Arabidopsis thaliana: one gene and its partners. The protein of the gene in region 2 interacts with the protein of the main gene of each other region in a pairwise test. Each region holds a gene or a part of one and is shown on either strand. Other genes may lie near its edges.

Region 1 (3,523 bases), on a different chromosome or scaffold from region 2:
TCATAGAGATTCTTCTGAATGCAAGAGGTTGGAGTGTTTTCTTGACAAAAATCTGCCATTACATAGAGCTCCGGTTATAGAAAGCTTCCGTCTTTACTTAATTGATTCAAAATGCACACCTGAGAATATCAAGATGTGGGTTGTTATAGCAGTTTCTCACTGCCTGCGTGAGCTGGAGGTTATTTATTCTTCATATCCGGAGAAGCCAAACATATTGCCGAGTAACTTGTATACCTGCAAATCGCTTGTGATCTTGGAACTCTGTGGCGAGATTCGCTTGGATGTTCCTCGAATGGCATTTCTTCCCTCTCTGAAAACTTTGCAACTTCACAGCGTGAGATACCTCAATGAAGACTCTCTTCATCGGCTTCTATCTAACTGCCCTGTTCTTGAAGATCTATTGGTGGATTTACTTTTGTCAGACAGCATGGAAAAGCTAACTGTTGTTGTCCCATCTTTGCAGATTTTATCACTCTTTATACCTCATTCTTATGAGATCGATGGGATTGTGATAGAAACTCCTTCTTTAAAGTATTTTAAACTTATAGACCATAACAGTAAGAGTCACTACTGTTTGGTTAAGAATATGCCTAACCTGATAGAGGCAGATATAGATGTTGAATTACATAGCATCAAGAGTCTTATTGGATCAATCACATCTGTCAAGCGTCTTTCAATATGTTCACAGGTATCATTTTCTCAACTCATTGTTTAGATATGCATTTGCTGATAATTTTTAATATTGCGCAGGCTATGTATGATGGAGGTTTTGTCTTCAACCAGCTTAAACATCTGAAGCTATGTAGATGCAAAGGGCATTCGTCGGATTTACTTGTCCGACTGCTCAAAGATTCTTCTAACTTACAAGCACTAGACCTTTCCGAAATGGATGTAAGTTTGTTCGTCAAACTCTTTTTTCTTGTCTGATGCACATTATGGTTTTAGTGTAATTCTTCTTCTGTTTGATCTGTAATTCTTCTTCTGTTTGATCTGTAATTCTTCTTCTGTTTGATCTCAGTATCATGAGAATCATGATATCCTTTACTGGCATCAACCAAGTACTGTCCCTGAATGTATGTTGTTGAGTCTCCAAACTCTCAACTTGTCGGCATATAGAGGAACACCAGAAGAGAGAGATCTTGCAGTGTATTTCTTGAAGAACGCTGTTCACTTGAAGACCACAACAATCAAGTCATGTGTTTTTGATGATGAAAGATTTGACATGTTAAAGGAGTTGGCACTTTCTTCTAGAGCTTCAACAACATGCCAACTCGTGTTTGATTGAGAGTATTTGATCACCAAAACAAAGCTTGTTCTTCAGTTCTTCCATGTCCCCGGGCTCGTATGGTTTGTCTTCAACCTGAAAATTTGTTTTCGTCAACCATCTTTTTCTATGTTTTCCGTTTTTTTTGTATGTGATAAAAACTTTATTCTATATGTTGTCCACCAAAAAACAAATTATGTTGATTGGAGAAGTTATATGATAAGTTTTAATCGTTTATGGGGTTTTATAGGTGTGTAGAGATATATACATACCTTGTGAATGAAGAAAAGAGAACTAGCTCTGTGTTGAAAAACTGAAAAGCATTTGATGCCCTGATAATTTCTCTAAAATTATTAAACCGAAATACTAATACGATCCAAGTGGAACCAACCAATTTCTTAATATCTAAAATACCGGAATCTAAAGAGTCGAACCAAACCGAACCGGAATGTCCTCTAATTTTTATTTTTAAACCCATGATTATGACATGCACTACCGGCTTAGTGGTGATGTTTGGCAACATGGTTTATTCAATTCTCACTCGCACTGAGTGTCTGTGGCTCATAAATCATTTACCTTTTCAATTTCTCAATTCCAAATCTAAAAGTCGTCAAAAATGGCTCTCCGATCTGTCAAAACGCCGACCTTGATAACTTCGGTCGCCGTCGTCTCCTCCTCCGTTACCAACAAGCCTCACTCTATCAGATTCTCTCTTAAACCAACGTCGGCACTCGTCGTCCATAACCATCAGCTATCGTTCTACGGTTCGAATCTCAAGCTGAAACCAACTAAATTCCGATGCTCAGCGTCGGCTCTTACGCCGCAACTTAAAGACACGCTGGAGAAACTGGTGAATTCGGAGAAAGTGGTTCTGTTTATGAAAGGAACGAGAGACTTCCCGATGTGTGGATTCTCCAACACTGTGGTTCAGATTTTGAAGAATCTGAATGTTCCTTTCGAAGATGTGAATATTCTGGAGAATGAGATGTTGAGGCAAGGACTTAAAGAGTATTCGAATTGGCCGACGTTTCCTCAGCTTTATATCGGCGGTGAGTTTTTCGGTGGTTGTGATATTACTCTTGAGGCGTTTAAGACTGGAGAATTGCAGGAAGAGGTGGAGAAAGCTATGTGCTCTTGATCCTGATTTCAATACTTGGTTTTTGTGATGATGGAATTTGATCTTATCTATCTATCTATCACCTGGGAAAAAAAATGTGATTTTGATGTTTCAGAGTTTGTGGTTGTAACATTAAGAGACATATATTGTATGATGGATTTAGGTATACAACAGTTGGAGTTGCTTGGAATTTGAGTTTCCTTTGTCATATGTGTTGGCCTGCAAATTTGTGTTGTTTGTTGAAAGGTTTATGTGTGAAGTAGTGCTAGTAGAATCTAAGTTTGTTTCTGACTAAGAGACATGAAGTCATGGGTTGTTATGCTCATTCATATCCTGATTGAGATACAATTTAAAGAAACTTAGTTCCAAAGATTCTGAACATTCACCGGTACAGTGTGTCTGCAAATGGTATTCTGTCTCACTTCAATGTCTAAACACGTTGTCTCAAAATGTATCGTTTGTTAGATACTCCTTTCAAGACATATGATTTAGCCTCGCATGTGTTCGTTGATCCAAGTTTTACCGGTTTGATAAGTCTCCAGTCTTAGCAATAAATCCAGACCGGATTCATGACCAATCGCAGATTTACCGGTCCGGGTCAAGTTTTAAAACATTAGTAGAAATGTGTTTCACCGAACAGGAAGACTTATCTGATAGCATCTCGTTGCAGTGGATAAATGGCAAAATAGTAATATACGTAGATTCTGCTTTTATCTGAACCACATAGTGCAGATGGATATCGAACAGAAGAACATGATATCGAGAAGACACGTGGCCCAATGAAAAAGCCACGCAGGCTCTGTATAGCCAATTGCAATCTGGTTTTAGATTCTCATCTCACAAATCTTACTTATACGATCAGTCTCCCACATTCACACTTCCACCAAACACCTCTCGTCCACATCTTTCTCCTTTGGTGGCAAACACAACGACAGATAGAGAGAAACGATGGCGTCGAACTCGCTTATGAGCTGTGGCATAGCCGCCGTGTACCCTTCGCTTCTCTCTTCTTCCAAGTCTAAATTCGTATCCGCCGGAGTTCCACTCCCAAACGCCGGGAATGTTGGTCGTATCAGAATGGCTGCTCACTGGATGCCTGGCGAGCCACGACCAGCTTACCTTGACGGTTCTGCTCCTGGGTA
Region 2 (7,244 bases):
GTCAAGACAATGGCATATCAAAACAACTGGTGAAGAAACTACGATTAATGAATGAAATAGACAACTTCAGAGAGGTGTTTGGTTAATGAAACGCTTACCGTAGCTTCTTCAATTTGGAACGCAAAAGTTTAGTGATTCTCTTGCAGTTAGATTAAATGGAAATAGAAATCATCATCGTTCGGCAAATCCCTAATATATAGAGAAGTCAATAAGTCGGCAATCACAATTGGGCCAATTTAGGTGGGCCTTTTCGTATTTAACTTGGTAAATGGGCCTCTGCAAATTCCCGTTTAGGAATCATATCATCTTACTATTACTTTTCTAGAAATATTCTATTTACAATAGTTACTCTTTTGAGTTCCTTTACTTATTTTGATAAATACATTTATATAAAGAAAATTCTAAATCAACTACTTTTAAATAGCAAAAAGTTAATAATTTTTTTTGCAACAACAAAAAAAAGAAGCTAATCTAAAACGAATAGTCACTACAATTTCGTTCTAGGTAATAGATGGGACAATGATACCGTATAGAAGTTTTTATGTAATAAAATTGTAATGATCAATGGCTTCAATGCCAAGAAGTTTTAACAATTAACATACACATATAATCTGGAAAAAGAGAGAAAGAAGGAAAGTTCAAATCTTCGTTCAAACATCAATTAGACAAATATAGAAGTTTCAAACGTTGGTTACAGCTTTATTGTTTGAGCTTTTGAAATAGAAGCAGCAAAGTTGAAGTTTTGAATTAACAAAAAGAAATCAAAGAAGTTGGAGAGGAATCATCAACATGAGAGAATGAAGAAAGATGAGTCAAAGTGTCTTTTTTTATCTCAAAAGAGTTTTATATGTTCCGGTAGCTTTCTTTCTTAAGAGAAGGCAAAAGCAGGAGTGGTCTTGAAATCGAGCTCCCAGAGATCAAACGTTCCTTTGACGAAATTGTAGTGACCTCCTCTTATTGCAAGTGTGTTCTTCACCACCTCAGCTCTCACGAATGGGTACGAAAGCAAGTTTCCAAGCGATACGTTCACAGCTTCCTGCACAAGATAACACATTTATTGATAAGCCATTTCTCAAGAACATAAGTAAACAGAGCAAAGATAGTTATTATTACCTTCTCACACTTGTTGCATTGATCATCGTAGCTCAAGTCTTTATGTTCCTCCTTGATCTTGTTCCTCGCTGATGCGCCTATCTTCACCCAATTTTCAATGAAGTCACTGCCATTGTTTAGAGGATTTCCATCGTGTTAGAGATCGATTAATCTTATCATCTCAAAGACTCAAACTTATCCCACAAGAAAGTCATATATCGAACAATCTTGATTCACAACTCAGGCTAAATCAAGATTAATGAGTTAGTAATTACCTTTGAGTTGGGGCAGCATCATCTTCAATGGACATGAGTCCCTTAATACCACCACAGCAGCTATGGCCTATCACCAAAATGTTCTCCACCTACAAATAAATTGATACTATTAAAAAAAGTGAACTGTTGACTCTGAATAAAAAAGTAGTTGCAAGTTGATGCATTAAGACCCATTTCTAATATCGAACATTATCCAAAAATGATTCAAAAAAGATAATCCTAGTGGCTAAAAGGAAAAGGAGAACAGGGTTTAGGTGGATGAAATGGGTCCAAATAACAGAGTGACTAGACATCAACTTTTAGTAAGAACCATGTGCAAGCAAAAATGCATAACAACGACTTAAAATAATGAGCACTATGAAAAGAGCCAAACTTTGGATGATTACTGATAAGTGATAACTTATAAGAATACTAACAAAGTTTGCTTATTTATTAATTCAATCTAAGTGTCTATCCTTAAAAATAGGTATATTTTGTTCATGTACCTTGAGATGTACAACTGCGTATTCAACGGCGGCGCCAACTCCAGAGTGTCTCTTCTGATAAATTATCAAAACCACTTTGGTGTTAGTTATTTGATCTCAGACAAGAACAAGAGTGAAATGGCTTGGTAATGAACCTGGTCAAAAGGTGGAACCATATTGGCTATGTTTCTGACAACAAAAGCCTCACCAGGTTGGAAATTCAAGATGTGAGATGGACAAACTCGAGAATCAGAGCAAGCAAACACCAGAAACTGCCATAATCAAAAAAAAAAAATCAACATCATTTTCAAATTCATTAACTCTATAATAAGAAAGTGGACCATCTTTGGTTCCAATAATTGTTTTTGCTAATTCATAAAGTCAAACATCATCGTTGGATTATTAAAAAGCTTGTCACACTCTTTTGTTCGTATTAACCTATTTTTTAGGTATTAGTCAAAGAAGAAAATAAGTAAATGAACAGAGAAAAAGAGAGAGATTTGAGAAAAGCTAAAACCTTTGGGGTCTGAGTCTTGGCAAGATGATTGAACAAAGTACTATTCTTCCTGAAAAAAATTATGAACAGAGAGATTTCATCAAAATCCATGAATCAACCTTAAAAAAAATTCAGAATTTCTTTTTAAAAAACCACCTTTTTATGTTTCTGTTATTGCATATACTAATTGGAATATACCTTCTTAATACAATTTAATTAGCTTTTAATCACCTTTTTTTAGCACTATCACATGAATAAAAACAGTAATGCTAAGTGAATAAGAAAAAATAAAGGTAGGTTTATCATTAATGGACCACTCCACCGTCATGAAAATTCTTCTTTACAGAACAAAAACGAATTTAATTATATTCTTTTCCTTAAATAACGTTAAAAAGTTTAGTAATTTAAATACTTACAAATATTTCTCGGTTTTGAATTGAGTAAAACCGGTCTTGATTCGTTCAATTGCGTCTGAATTGCTTGAGTCAAGCTCCTTTAGCTCCGCCGTCAACGCTTTGATCTTCGCGGCGGCGACGTTTCCGAGATCCGCTTTCGTACTGTAAAAAAAACGCGGAAATGTGAAACTTTTTTCCCAAGGTAAGTTGATCCAACGGTCAGGATCTGTCGTACGTGTACGGATTCCAAAATGTTTGGTCATGAAGAAAACACAAACGCGCAAATCAAAAGAAAACAAAAAACTCTGATTTTTTTTTCCGATTCAACGCTTTGATTTTGGCGTTGATTATGGAGAAATTGTGGGAGGAAAAAAAAGAGGAATATGCCGACACTTTCTAATGATGGTACTATGAGTCAGAGAGAGTGTGTACCTGAGAAGATCATTGAGTCCTTTAATGGCGGCTTCGTACGATTCCGTTGCCATTTCGTCTTTTTCCTAATGAATACAAACAACAACAAGTAATTTTAATCGGTGAAATTTGACGATGTTGAAACATGAAAATTGGATCTGATGAGAGAAACCTTAAAGGATCACAAAAGCAGAGGAGGTTTTTTTTTTCTTTCTCTGGAGAGTAAAATCCTTATCGAAGAATGTGAAATCAGTTAATGCAGTAGTAGTAGAGATGGATATTGGTATTTATAGGCCTAGAGCTCTATTATGCCATTTGGTTCTACTCTTACATTTTCTTTTTTACAAGGGAAAAAAAAAAGAAACTCCACAAAAATGGGAAGGTTTATATTATATTAAAAAATCTTTTTGTGGGATGGTGATTTGATAAAACTATTTTAAAATTTTGGGGTGAAATGGTTTTGATTGAGGAGGAATAATTAAGCATGTGGCTGTATGTCTCGGTACTGATTAAAATGAAATTATAAACCCATTTGAATTTCCAAGTACATTTTTTTTATAAATGCAAATTTCATTCGAATGTCTACATTGACTAGAATAGTTTTTTTCTACCTCATTTGACCAAATAAATGATCTCGACTTGAAAAGTAAACGCAGGGCAAAAAGCATATGGTAGTAAGTAGTAATTTTTATTTTGGTGAAGGCAAATTGGTCTGCGTCTTTTCCGATAGGCCGGTGGCCAATGACAAAGCAGGATAAGTCAACCAAGGCAAGCCTTACAGGCTGACACGGTCATGTTTTTAACGGACTTGCCAGTTGGCATCTACGCGTCACCAGTTTACTTAATTATTACTTTCTCTATATACATTTCGTCACTTTATATACATACTATAATCTAATAATCCTCTCGAAGTTTCAAAAATAGCTTGAGTATTTTTCTCATAAGCAAATTTGAGTTGTTGCTGGGACTTACCGGGGAGGTTTTAGCGCAGCAGAACATGAAACATTTTCCGAATGCAGGAGCCATTATAAATGATCTCTTCCTTTGCTTCTCCTACCAACCTGTCCAGTCCAAACCCGTAATCTTATTATTACAAATACATCTAAAAATAAAGTATAGGAGTTTTCTCATTGTTACTTACAATCGACTACATTATTAACTACTCACGTCGGCATTCAATTTATTAAATTCATAACTGAATTATAATTTTATTATATTCTGAAGACTAATAATGCGATGGCTGAATCACAACAAATTAAAATAGATGGATGATCTAAATCCGGAATGGTTCTCTGACTCTTTAGTTCCATATATAAAATATTCCTTTATACATATTTTCAAACTTTTTTGGGGCTTAAAAATGCTCAAGTAACGCAAGCTGGCTTTTCATTGGACCGTAAGGTTCATTTCCATCAACCATTATTGTATATGACTATACTCATTGCCATGAATAATTCAAGTTTTATTCTATCATATTAAGTTCTAACGTATTTTGGGAAAAAAATGCTCATTAATTGTCAACAAACAAACCATACACTTCTTAGTTTTTCAAACATGAACTTGAAATGAAGTTTTTGTGTTCTCCTTTTAGTGTGGAAAAATGGATTCAGTTTTTTAGTATAAAAAAGGGTTTTGGTAATCGACAATAATTAAATTAAAAAGAAGATAAATTACGAATGAAATACCTAAATGTTAGGGGAAGAAGAAGCTCTTGGTAAGGCTCTTCCTAGCTCTTCGACAACCCTATGGACGTGGTAACAGTTTGAAGATGATGAGGCAGAGGATTTTGGGAATTGAAATAAGTAAACAAATAAATAAATAAAAATCTTAATTTATATGGGAAGAAGATTGGATATGGGTTTTTGGATTTTCGAGGTTTCAAGGAATTATGACGACCGTTCGAGCAATGTGGGGGTTTCTGTTATGGGATAGAGAAAGCGAAAGGTGAGTGAAGCTGGACTTCTTCTTCTTCTTCTTCTTCCATGTTTTTTCTTTTTATTTGTTTCTGCTGTTTATTTAGTAAAAATCATAATAAGACCTGTAAATATTTATTGACATTATGAGAAAACACTAAAACTATGCTAGAAGATAATCTCATGAGATTTTATTCTTTTTATATGCTTTCATATTTATTATAACTTGTTCTACTATTTAAAGTAAATTCACTAATATAACAAAAGTTAAAATCAAATTTCTATAACAGACCATTTATTACTTTTAATAATTATTTGTCAACAGTTCTACTAATTATATAAATTTTGTATATCTTTTGGATCTAAACTAATGTATGAACGAAGTAGTGATGAAATTATTATCCAAGACCTGAAATCTGTTTCGCTTCGAAAATTAGACTATATAAATTCAGATCAGGATAGCATAAATTTATGGTAATGTTGTAATTTCATGACTAGCCGTTAATAGGGCTTGCAAGTTGCACCTCTCATTCATGTAATGGACTATTAGATTTAAAACAACCCAAACCAAAGATAACTTTAGCGACACTACAAATTTTCATGTAATGGGCTATTAGATTTAAAACAACCAAAATTGCTAATTTTCACAACCAGTACTTTTTCTTGGGCTTGATGTTTCAATTCATGCCCCATTCATCAGCATAAACTCTCACTTGACTTCAAATACCTTTCGATGATGAATGGGGCATGACTATTTCTGAATGGTGTTAGTCACCTGGACCCGAATTATAGGCCTATCATTCTTACTTTGGCCCAAATATTTATCTGGCCCTCTTACATATAATATAAGCACTTTTAAAGCTATAGCTGTATGTACTCTTGTATTAGGAGGCATATTGAGTTTGGTGTGATGTATAATGTGTAATGTGTTGTCACTTGTCACTACCAATACAGGTTTGTACTTTTACTATGTTTAAATAATTTGATACCTAACTTAATAGTGTCGGTAAACAGAAGTTGTAAAAACTAAGCTATCAAAAATAAATGCCTCAGGAAATCATTTATAGCCATCTCTAAAAATGTGTGTTTACATATCTGCGGCCATCGTTAATCAATTAGATAGAGATAATATATTGCCTAAAAGAACAAGTTTTACTTTATTCCAGTAAAAAATTAATTCCTACTTTCAAAATAAAAAAAATAAAAAAATTAACGTGCGGACAAATTTTGATATACCAAAATATATTATTGACAAACTTAAATTCCAAAAAAGATCGATGAATCTTTTCTCTACTACTTTCAAAATCAAAAAATACTTTACATCAAAGAAGAAAAAAAACTAATCAAATGATACAAACGAAAAGTTAATAAGTAAAGTTTCACTTTTACTTACAAAAAGAAGGTTTTATAATACACAGAAACCAAAAAAAAGGTTAGATATATACAAAAGGCAAAGATTTGTCGGTAGAGATTTTGGTACGACAGATCGGTTTAATCAATAGGGATGAACATTTCTGGTTAAACCATTAACATTAGTGAAGAACCCAACATGTTTATACGGAAGATACGATCTTCGTTTCCCTTCTTCTCTCATTGCTCTGTTTCTCATATACAATTTCTCATGTGCCGATTTCGTTCTCATCTTATCCTTCTTCTTATCCGTCTTCGTTTTCTCTTTCCCTTTCTCCGACGACTTCACCACACCACTCAATCTCGCCGCCGTAGACGACGTCGACGATGTAGATGAAGAGCCGTTGCTTAAAAACACAAACGCATCTTTTCCATCACTGTTACTTCTCAAAACAAGATCTCTAAATCTCCATAGCTTTGAGAACCCTGTTGAGTTACTTTTCCGACAAGTCTCTGGTGATGCTTGCTCCACCGTACGATTTGTCCATGAACAATATGGACCCACCGTATCTGACTCTTCTTCTTCTTCTTCTGTGGTTGTGGATTCAACGAAGAGTTTCTTGAGAGGTGAACGTAAAGTTTTTTCCTCTGGATCATCGAAGAAAATATTCCGGTTAAACAGAGGATAAACCGGTCGGATCTGACCGTCTTCGAATGCTTCATCTGCGGTTATCGGTGAATTATCTGCGTTTACACTTGCGAATGAGAAATCTTCTTCTCTTCCTTCATCATCTTTATCAGTTCCGTTCTGATTCCACCATGAATCATCATCTCTGTTTTCTTCCTCT
Region 3 (5,460 bases), on a different chromosome or scaffold from region 2:
AGACAAACCAGGGGAGTCTAAAGCTTGGTGGATTTGAAGCTCCAGACACCATCCATAGCTATTTTTGGTTTGTCTACATCAATGCTTGTAGGAATAATTTTTTTTTCCGGAGAAGCTGATCACCGTTGTGATAGAGAGACTTGCCAATCATATGTAAGCATATGGTCTCATCAATATCATAAATTAATAAATTTATAAATTTATCAGAATATATTATGTATATGTAAGAAAAGTTAGTGAAATATGATTCTAGTATTGTTTGTTTTTCTTAAATAATATTAAGTTTTGATCAAATATTCATTTTTAATATGTTTACTGTATAAAAAAAAGTTGTGCTTTTTTTAAAAAAAGAGAATATGTTCTTTTACTTGTATTTGTATCTAAAAAGATGTTGGTTATGACAAATAAAACTTCTTTTCATATAGGAAAGTTAAAAAAAATTACAAATTAACCAAATCTCTCTATAAATTAATAATTCAACAAATTAATATCTCTATAAATTAATAAAATTTCACGTTCCCGACATTATTAATTTATAGAAGTTTTACTGTATTCCTTTGTGAATTTCCTTTTCATAATTTAAAACTAAGTTGGCAACCTTTTCATATCATAAATAAGTAAATTATTTCAAACTATTTTTCTGGATTTTTAATCTGTTCATTGGAGTCATATCAAGTCTTGCTTCGTATGATTTGTTCTTCCTACTCATAAGAGCTTTGTAGACATACTTAGATTTACTAGACTATGAATTGTGCAAATTTTGTAATGATTAATTTTAATCATCTTATTACTTTCTCGATTCAAGATGAATTACGGACAAAGATGAATGTCTGAACCTTTAGCGTTCAATCTTTTATTTCTTATCTTTTCTTAGTGATGCATATAATGCTAAAAGAAAAAGATGTTAGCAAAGGAGAGACTTTTGGATTATGTATGATAATGGAAAAAATGTCACATGGATTCATCACAGTGAAAATGATGAAGATGAAAGTATGACTCAAAAGGATTGAGTAGTTAAAAATTTGAGAATGACCAGGGAGAAAGGAAGAAAATCAAGGAGGAAAATATTTTAGTAAATTTAGATGATTACATTTGAGTTTTTTTTTTTTTGTCACAAGTGTGTTTTATTGATATTATAGAGCCAAAAGTAACAGGCCAATAATTCACAAAGACTAAAATAAACAAGCCCAAAGAAAAAAAAAAAAAACAGCCCAAAAGCCCAAATGAATAAACCCTAAACTGAAGGAAGAGAACAAATGATTGTTGTGCGCCGCATAGAAAACACGTGTCAGTGGGAAACATTTTGAAGGACACATAGGAACTGGAAGAGAAGGGAGTCGCCGTCAGAAGCTTCAATTCCGGCCGAAACACCGGAAAACTTGTTTAATTGGCATAGCTCACTCGTCGCTCAAAAGATTAATGGCGAAATTTCAGTTGTAGCTTGGACGAGAATTTGACTCCACGAAGTGCAAATCTTCTTCTTCTTCTTTTTCTTTTTCTTCCTCTTCTTCTTCAATCAACATCTTTTTAACTCTTAGGGTTCATCAATCTTTGAACTACAAGCAGAAGATAAAAAAAAAACAAATCAAATCTAAATCCGGTCAAAAAACCGGAGAAAAAACCGGCTAAAGACGCCGGAGAAAAGCCCGACGAAACAAGAAAGAGGGTATCTTGCTCTCGGGAGATAAGCCAGCCACCACCGCTAAAAGTAGCCGGTCGATGCCGGAAGCTGAGCCAGCCAACGCTTCTAAGGAAGCCAGCGATGCCGGAGTAGAAGCCGACCAAACACTGCTGATAAAGCCAGTCATTGCTGGCCAAAAAAGCTGAAACTCTCTGAAAGATGAGGAGAGAGAAGAGAGAGAAAACCCTATCAACGTGAAAATAATTACATTTGAGTTTATATACTCAAAACTTGGAAGTAAAGGTAAATTAAAATATGATTGTTAGAAACAATTACACCAATAATAAAACGACACGTGTACACTACGTAGACGTTAGATAACCACAGCAAAAGGATATGTATTCTCGAGGCGGGAGAGAGAAAGAGAAGAGAGTGAGAGAGATCGAAGAACATTTACACACATCAATGGCGTCTCTGCAACTCTGCGACGGTTATCTTCTCTTCAAGCCCTCTGTTTCTCCTCGATTCCTCTCTCAACGCATTTCTCATCGCCTAATCCCTAAAGCCTCATCTTCTCCTCCTCCATCTCCATCACCATCATCGTCCTCTTCATCCTTATCTTTCAGTCGGCGGGAGCTTCTGTACCAATCGGCAGCTGTATCACTCTCGCTTTCTTCCATTGTTGGACCAGCGAGAGCTGATGAACAGTTATCCGAATGGGAAAGAGTGTTTCTCCCAATCGATCCCGGTGTTGTTCTTCTCGACATTGCTTTCGTCCCCGACGAACCTAGCCGAGGTAATTACTCCTTCTTCTTCTTCTTTAATTTTCCGTTCTTAAGTTCGAAATTGTTTTACTTACTGATTCTTGCTTGAAATGTCAATTAGGGTTTTTACTTGGAACGAGACAGACTTTGTTAGAGACTAAAGATGGTGGAAGCACTTGGAATCCACGTTCGATTCCTTCAGCTGAAGAAGAAGATTTCAATTATAGATTCAATTCGATTAGCTTTAAAGGCAAAGAAGGATGGATTATTGGCAAACCTGCGATTTTATTGTACACTGCTGATGCTGGAGAGAATTGGGATAGGATTCCTCTAAGTTCTCAGCTTCCTGGAGATATGGTATTATATCTTGTTTCTTCTGGTGTTTTCAGAGATTTCTATTGTTGTTGTTTTTGTTTATGAGAATGTGTTTGTTACAAATGTTGTTGTAGGTGTTTATAAAAGCGACAGAAGATAAGAGTGCAGAGATGGTTACTGATGAAGGTGCTATTTATGTTACTTCAAACAGGGGATATAACTGGAAAGCTGCTATTCAGGAAACTGTTTCAGCTACCTTGAACAGGTTCGTTACCCTCTCTTTGGTTTATACTAGGGAATTGGCATTGTCTTTTCCATCCAGATTCAATAGAGATCAAAGAGTAGACCTTAATTCAGTATTTCCTATGGTCTTGCAGAACAGTATCCAGTGGAATCAGTGGTGCTAGTTACTACACGGGAACTTTCAGTGCTGTTAATCGTTCACCTGATGGAAGATATGTCGCTGTTTCGAGCCGTGGTAACTTCTTTCTGACATGGGAGCCTGGGCAGGTGAGACTCAATTAAGGCTATGAAGAAATACATTTATACTTGTGGTTTGCTTTTGAACTCTTAGTCCTTTTTATGACATAGCTAGGTGAAGTTTTAGCACTTGCTTAGGCTCAGTCTTATTGCTGATTTTGATTTTGATTAAAAAGTACTTTGTCTAAGTAAACGGTATTATGTGTCTTACAAGGGACTACCAATCCCTCTCTTTGTTCTTGTGTGTGGTTTGCGTGCTCTTTAGACTGTCATTCACCATAGTATTGGTATATTGCAGCCTTACTGGCAACCACACAATAGAGCTGTTGCTAGAAGAATTCAGAACATGGGATGGAGAGCTGATGGTGGTCTTTGGCTTCTTGTTCGTGGTGGAGGACTTTATCTTAGCAAAGGTACTGGGGTAAGTACAGCAGCAAGACTCTCCTCACTTCTTGCAGTTTTATTCTCTGAAAATTTCCTTTTCTTCTCGTTTTGGTATTTACTTGCGAGTTTCTGGGTTCTTTTGCCACTTAGAGGATGAAACCAAATCTAGCCATGAACTAAGAAACACAATTTTCTTTTGTTATCTGCTATTCCCTGGACTAATAACAAGGAAAATAAAATAAAAAAACTGTTTCCTTGTGATTTAAATTCTCTTCCAATGTTTCAACTTCCAACTGCATCTGATTTTGATCTCCTCTGTTATAATTGCTCAGATTACAGAGGAGTTTGAAGAAGTTCCAGTACAAAGCCGTGGCTTTGGCATTCTAGATGTTGGATATCGCTCAGAGGTAAATGAGTTTCCACGATGATCACTCAAAACTCTGAATCTGCTCCGATCTTTACACCATTTTTTTTTTTTTTTGGGTATTGCAGGAAGAAGCATGGGCAGCAGGAGGCAGTGGCATACTACTGAGAACAAGAAATGGAGGCAAATCATGGAACCGTGACAAAGCTGCTGATAATATCGCAGCTAACCTATACGCAGTCAAGTAAGTCTCTAACTCAAACATCAAAACACACTCCTTCAATACCATCATTGGGAACCATCATTGTTCCCACCCATCTCATCTCATCTCAAATCTCAAATACTTTAGCATAAACGAACAAACTAATCAGTTCTCAATTCCTGTCTGTTTTTTGTTGCAGATTTGTGGATGACAAGAAAGGATTTGTGCTTGGCAACGATGGAGTCTTGCTCCGATATGTTGGCTGAAGAATTTAAAAATAAAAAAGAGGTTAAATTGAAATGGTTATGTTTCAATCCTTCTCTGTAAAGCCTTTAACTGCGTTTTAATACTACATTACACTATTGTATACATTCCCTTCACAAAATATATATAATTTTGTGTTTCTTCTGAAAAGCTTTGTTTCTCACTGTTAGTTGGAGTTGGATTTGATCTCATCTATGTATGTTTATAACCTATTTTCAGCCAAGAAATTTCATTGTGTAGGCAACCAAGAAAGATGACAAGAAATCTTCGCCAGAGATTTTATTACTCACTTTATTGTCAATTCATAAGAGAAACATATATTGATAAATCCGTTTGTGGATTAGACCGCTTTTTATTTACTATTTAAAAATTGTCAATTACTACATATAAATAAATTTGGTATGCGGTGGGTTGTTGTCCGTGGAACGGTGACTGAACCGAACAATGCGGTGCGGTTCAAATAGTAACGAATGTTTTTGCATATATATGTTTTTGTTATTATTTGAACTGCACTGCACTTTATCCGCAGTTGAACCTAATTGAACCTAATGAAACTTAAACTGGTTTAGTTTGCTAATATTATTTTTATTTTATTTTTGAATAACTTTTTTTTCTTTTCTTTTTTGTCATCTGATCATTTTTCTTTTTTGCTTTCGTTATGGATAAGCTGTAACGCGGTTTTTGTTTTGAACATTAATAATAATTAATTCTATTCTTCGAAAAAAGAAAAATATATAATAGTGTGTCGTTTTCCGGTGGCGACGAGAGGGAGAACCGGAGAAGAGATCTCTCGTTCGTTTTTTTCCCGGTAAATCCGGCGAGAAAAAGTTCACATTGAATCTACGAGAAAATTTCCTTCCATTTCACTCCACGAGTTTTCACCTCTCTTGTTCAATCTCTCAACGTCTCTCCCTCGTTTCTCGTTTTCGCTTTTTCCCCTTTTCCTCTTCTATTTTACCGGAATCCGAGAATTTTTGATCAGATCTAGTTTCAGAAATAGGTTAGTTCCAACAATGTTGACGGAACGAGGAAGGCGAATTTCTGGTTTCAATGGGAGTTTCGAATT

What was found.
Region 1: the proteins of BCA4 (region 2) and CXIP1 interact in a two-hybrid assay, tested with the Arabidopsis thaliana proteins (one large-scale study listed by BioGRID).
Region 3: the proteins of BCA4 (region 2) and HCF136 interact in a two-hybrid assay, tested with the Arabidopsis thaliana proteins (one large-scale study listed by BioGRID).

Annotation. Positions count from the first base shown.
Region 1 is NC_003074.8:20,340,729-20,344,251, reverse strand, and holds CXIP1 (CAX interacting protein 1), read left to right. Parts: upstream 1-1,787; 5' UTR 1,788-1,880; coding exon 1,881-2,402; 3' UTR 2,403-2,895; downstream 2,896-3,523. Other genes in the region: AT3G54910 (RNI-like superfamily protein), read left to right, coding at 1-688, 751-891, 1,019-1,285; LHCA1 (chlorophyll a-b binding protein 6), read left to right, coding at 3,330-3,520. UniProt on the Arabidopsis thaliana protein: May only reduce GSH-thiol disulfides, but not protein disulfides. Probably involved in the regulation of the redox state of the BOLA proteins. May act as Fe-S cluster donors to Fe-S cluster-requiring proteins.
Region 2 is NC_003070.9:26,533,299-26,540,542, forward strand, and holds BCA4 (beta carbonic anhydrase 4), read right to left. Parts: upstream 5,140-7,244; 5' UTR 4,819-5,139; intron 4,195-4,818; 5' UTR 4,160-4,194; coding exon 4,106-4,159; exon of another isoform or gene 3,220-4,105; coding exon 3,155-3,219; intron 2,885-3,154; coding exon 2,744-2,884; intron 2,398-2,743; coding exon 2,349-2,397; intron 2,104-2,348; coding exon 1,987-2,103; intron 1,907-1,986; coding exon 1,853-1,906; intron 1,457-1,852; coding exon 1,368-1,456; intron 1,220-1,367; coding exon 1,114-1,219; intron 1,037-1,113; coding exon 869-1,036; 3' UTR 526-868; downstream 1-525. Other genes in the region: AT1G70420 (DNA ligase-like protein, putative (DUF1645)), read right to left, coding at 6,542-7,244. UniProt on the Arabidopsis thaliana protein: Reversible hydration of carbon dioxide. Together with BCA1, involved in the CO(2) signaling pathway which controls gas-exchange between plants and the atmosphere by modulating stomatal development and movements. Promotes water use efficiency.
Region 3 is NC_003076.8:7,776,068-7,781,527, forward strand, and holds HCF136 (photosystem II stability/assembly factor, chloroplast (HCF136)), read left to right. Parts: upstream 1-1,949; 5' UTR 1,950-2,017; coding exon 2,018-2,417; intron 2,418-2,506; coding exon 2,507-2,742; intron 2,743-2,834; coding exon 2,835-2,965; intron 2,966-3,077; coding exon 3,078-3,210; intron 3,211-3,478; coding exon 3,479-3,601; intron 3,602-3,896; coding exon 3,897-3,971; intron 3,972-4,056; coding exon 4,057-4,172; intron 4,173-4,329; coding exon 4,330-4,396; 3' UTR 4,397-4,840; downstream 4,841-5,460. Other genes in the region: AT5G23130 (Peptidoglycan-binding LysM domain-containing protein), read left to right, coding at 5,408-5,460. UniProt on the Arabidopsis thaliana protein: Essential for photosystem II (PSII) biogenesis; required for assembly of an early intermediate in PSII assembly that includes D2 (psbD) and cytochrome b559. Has been suggested to be required for chlorophyll a binding.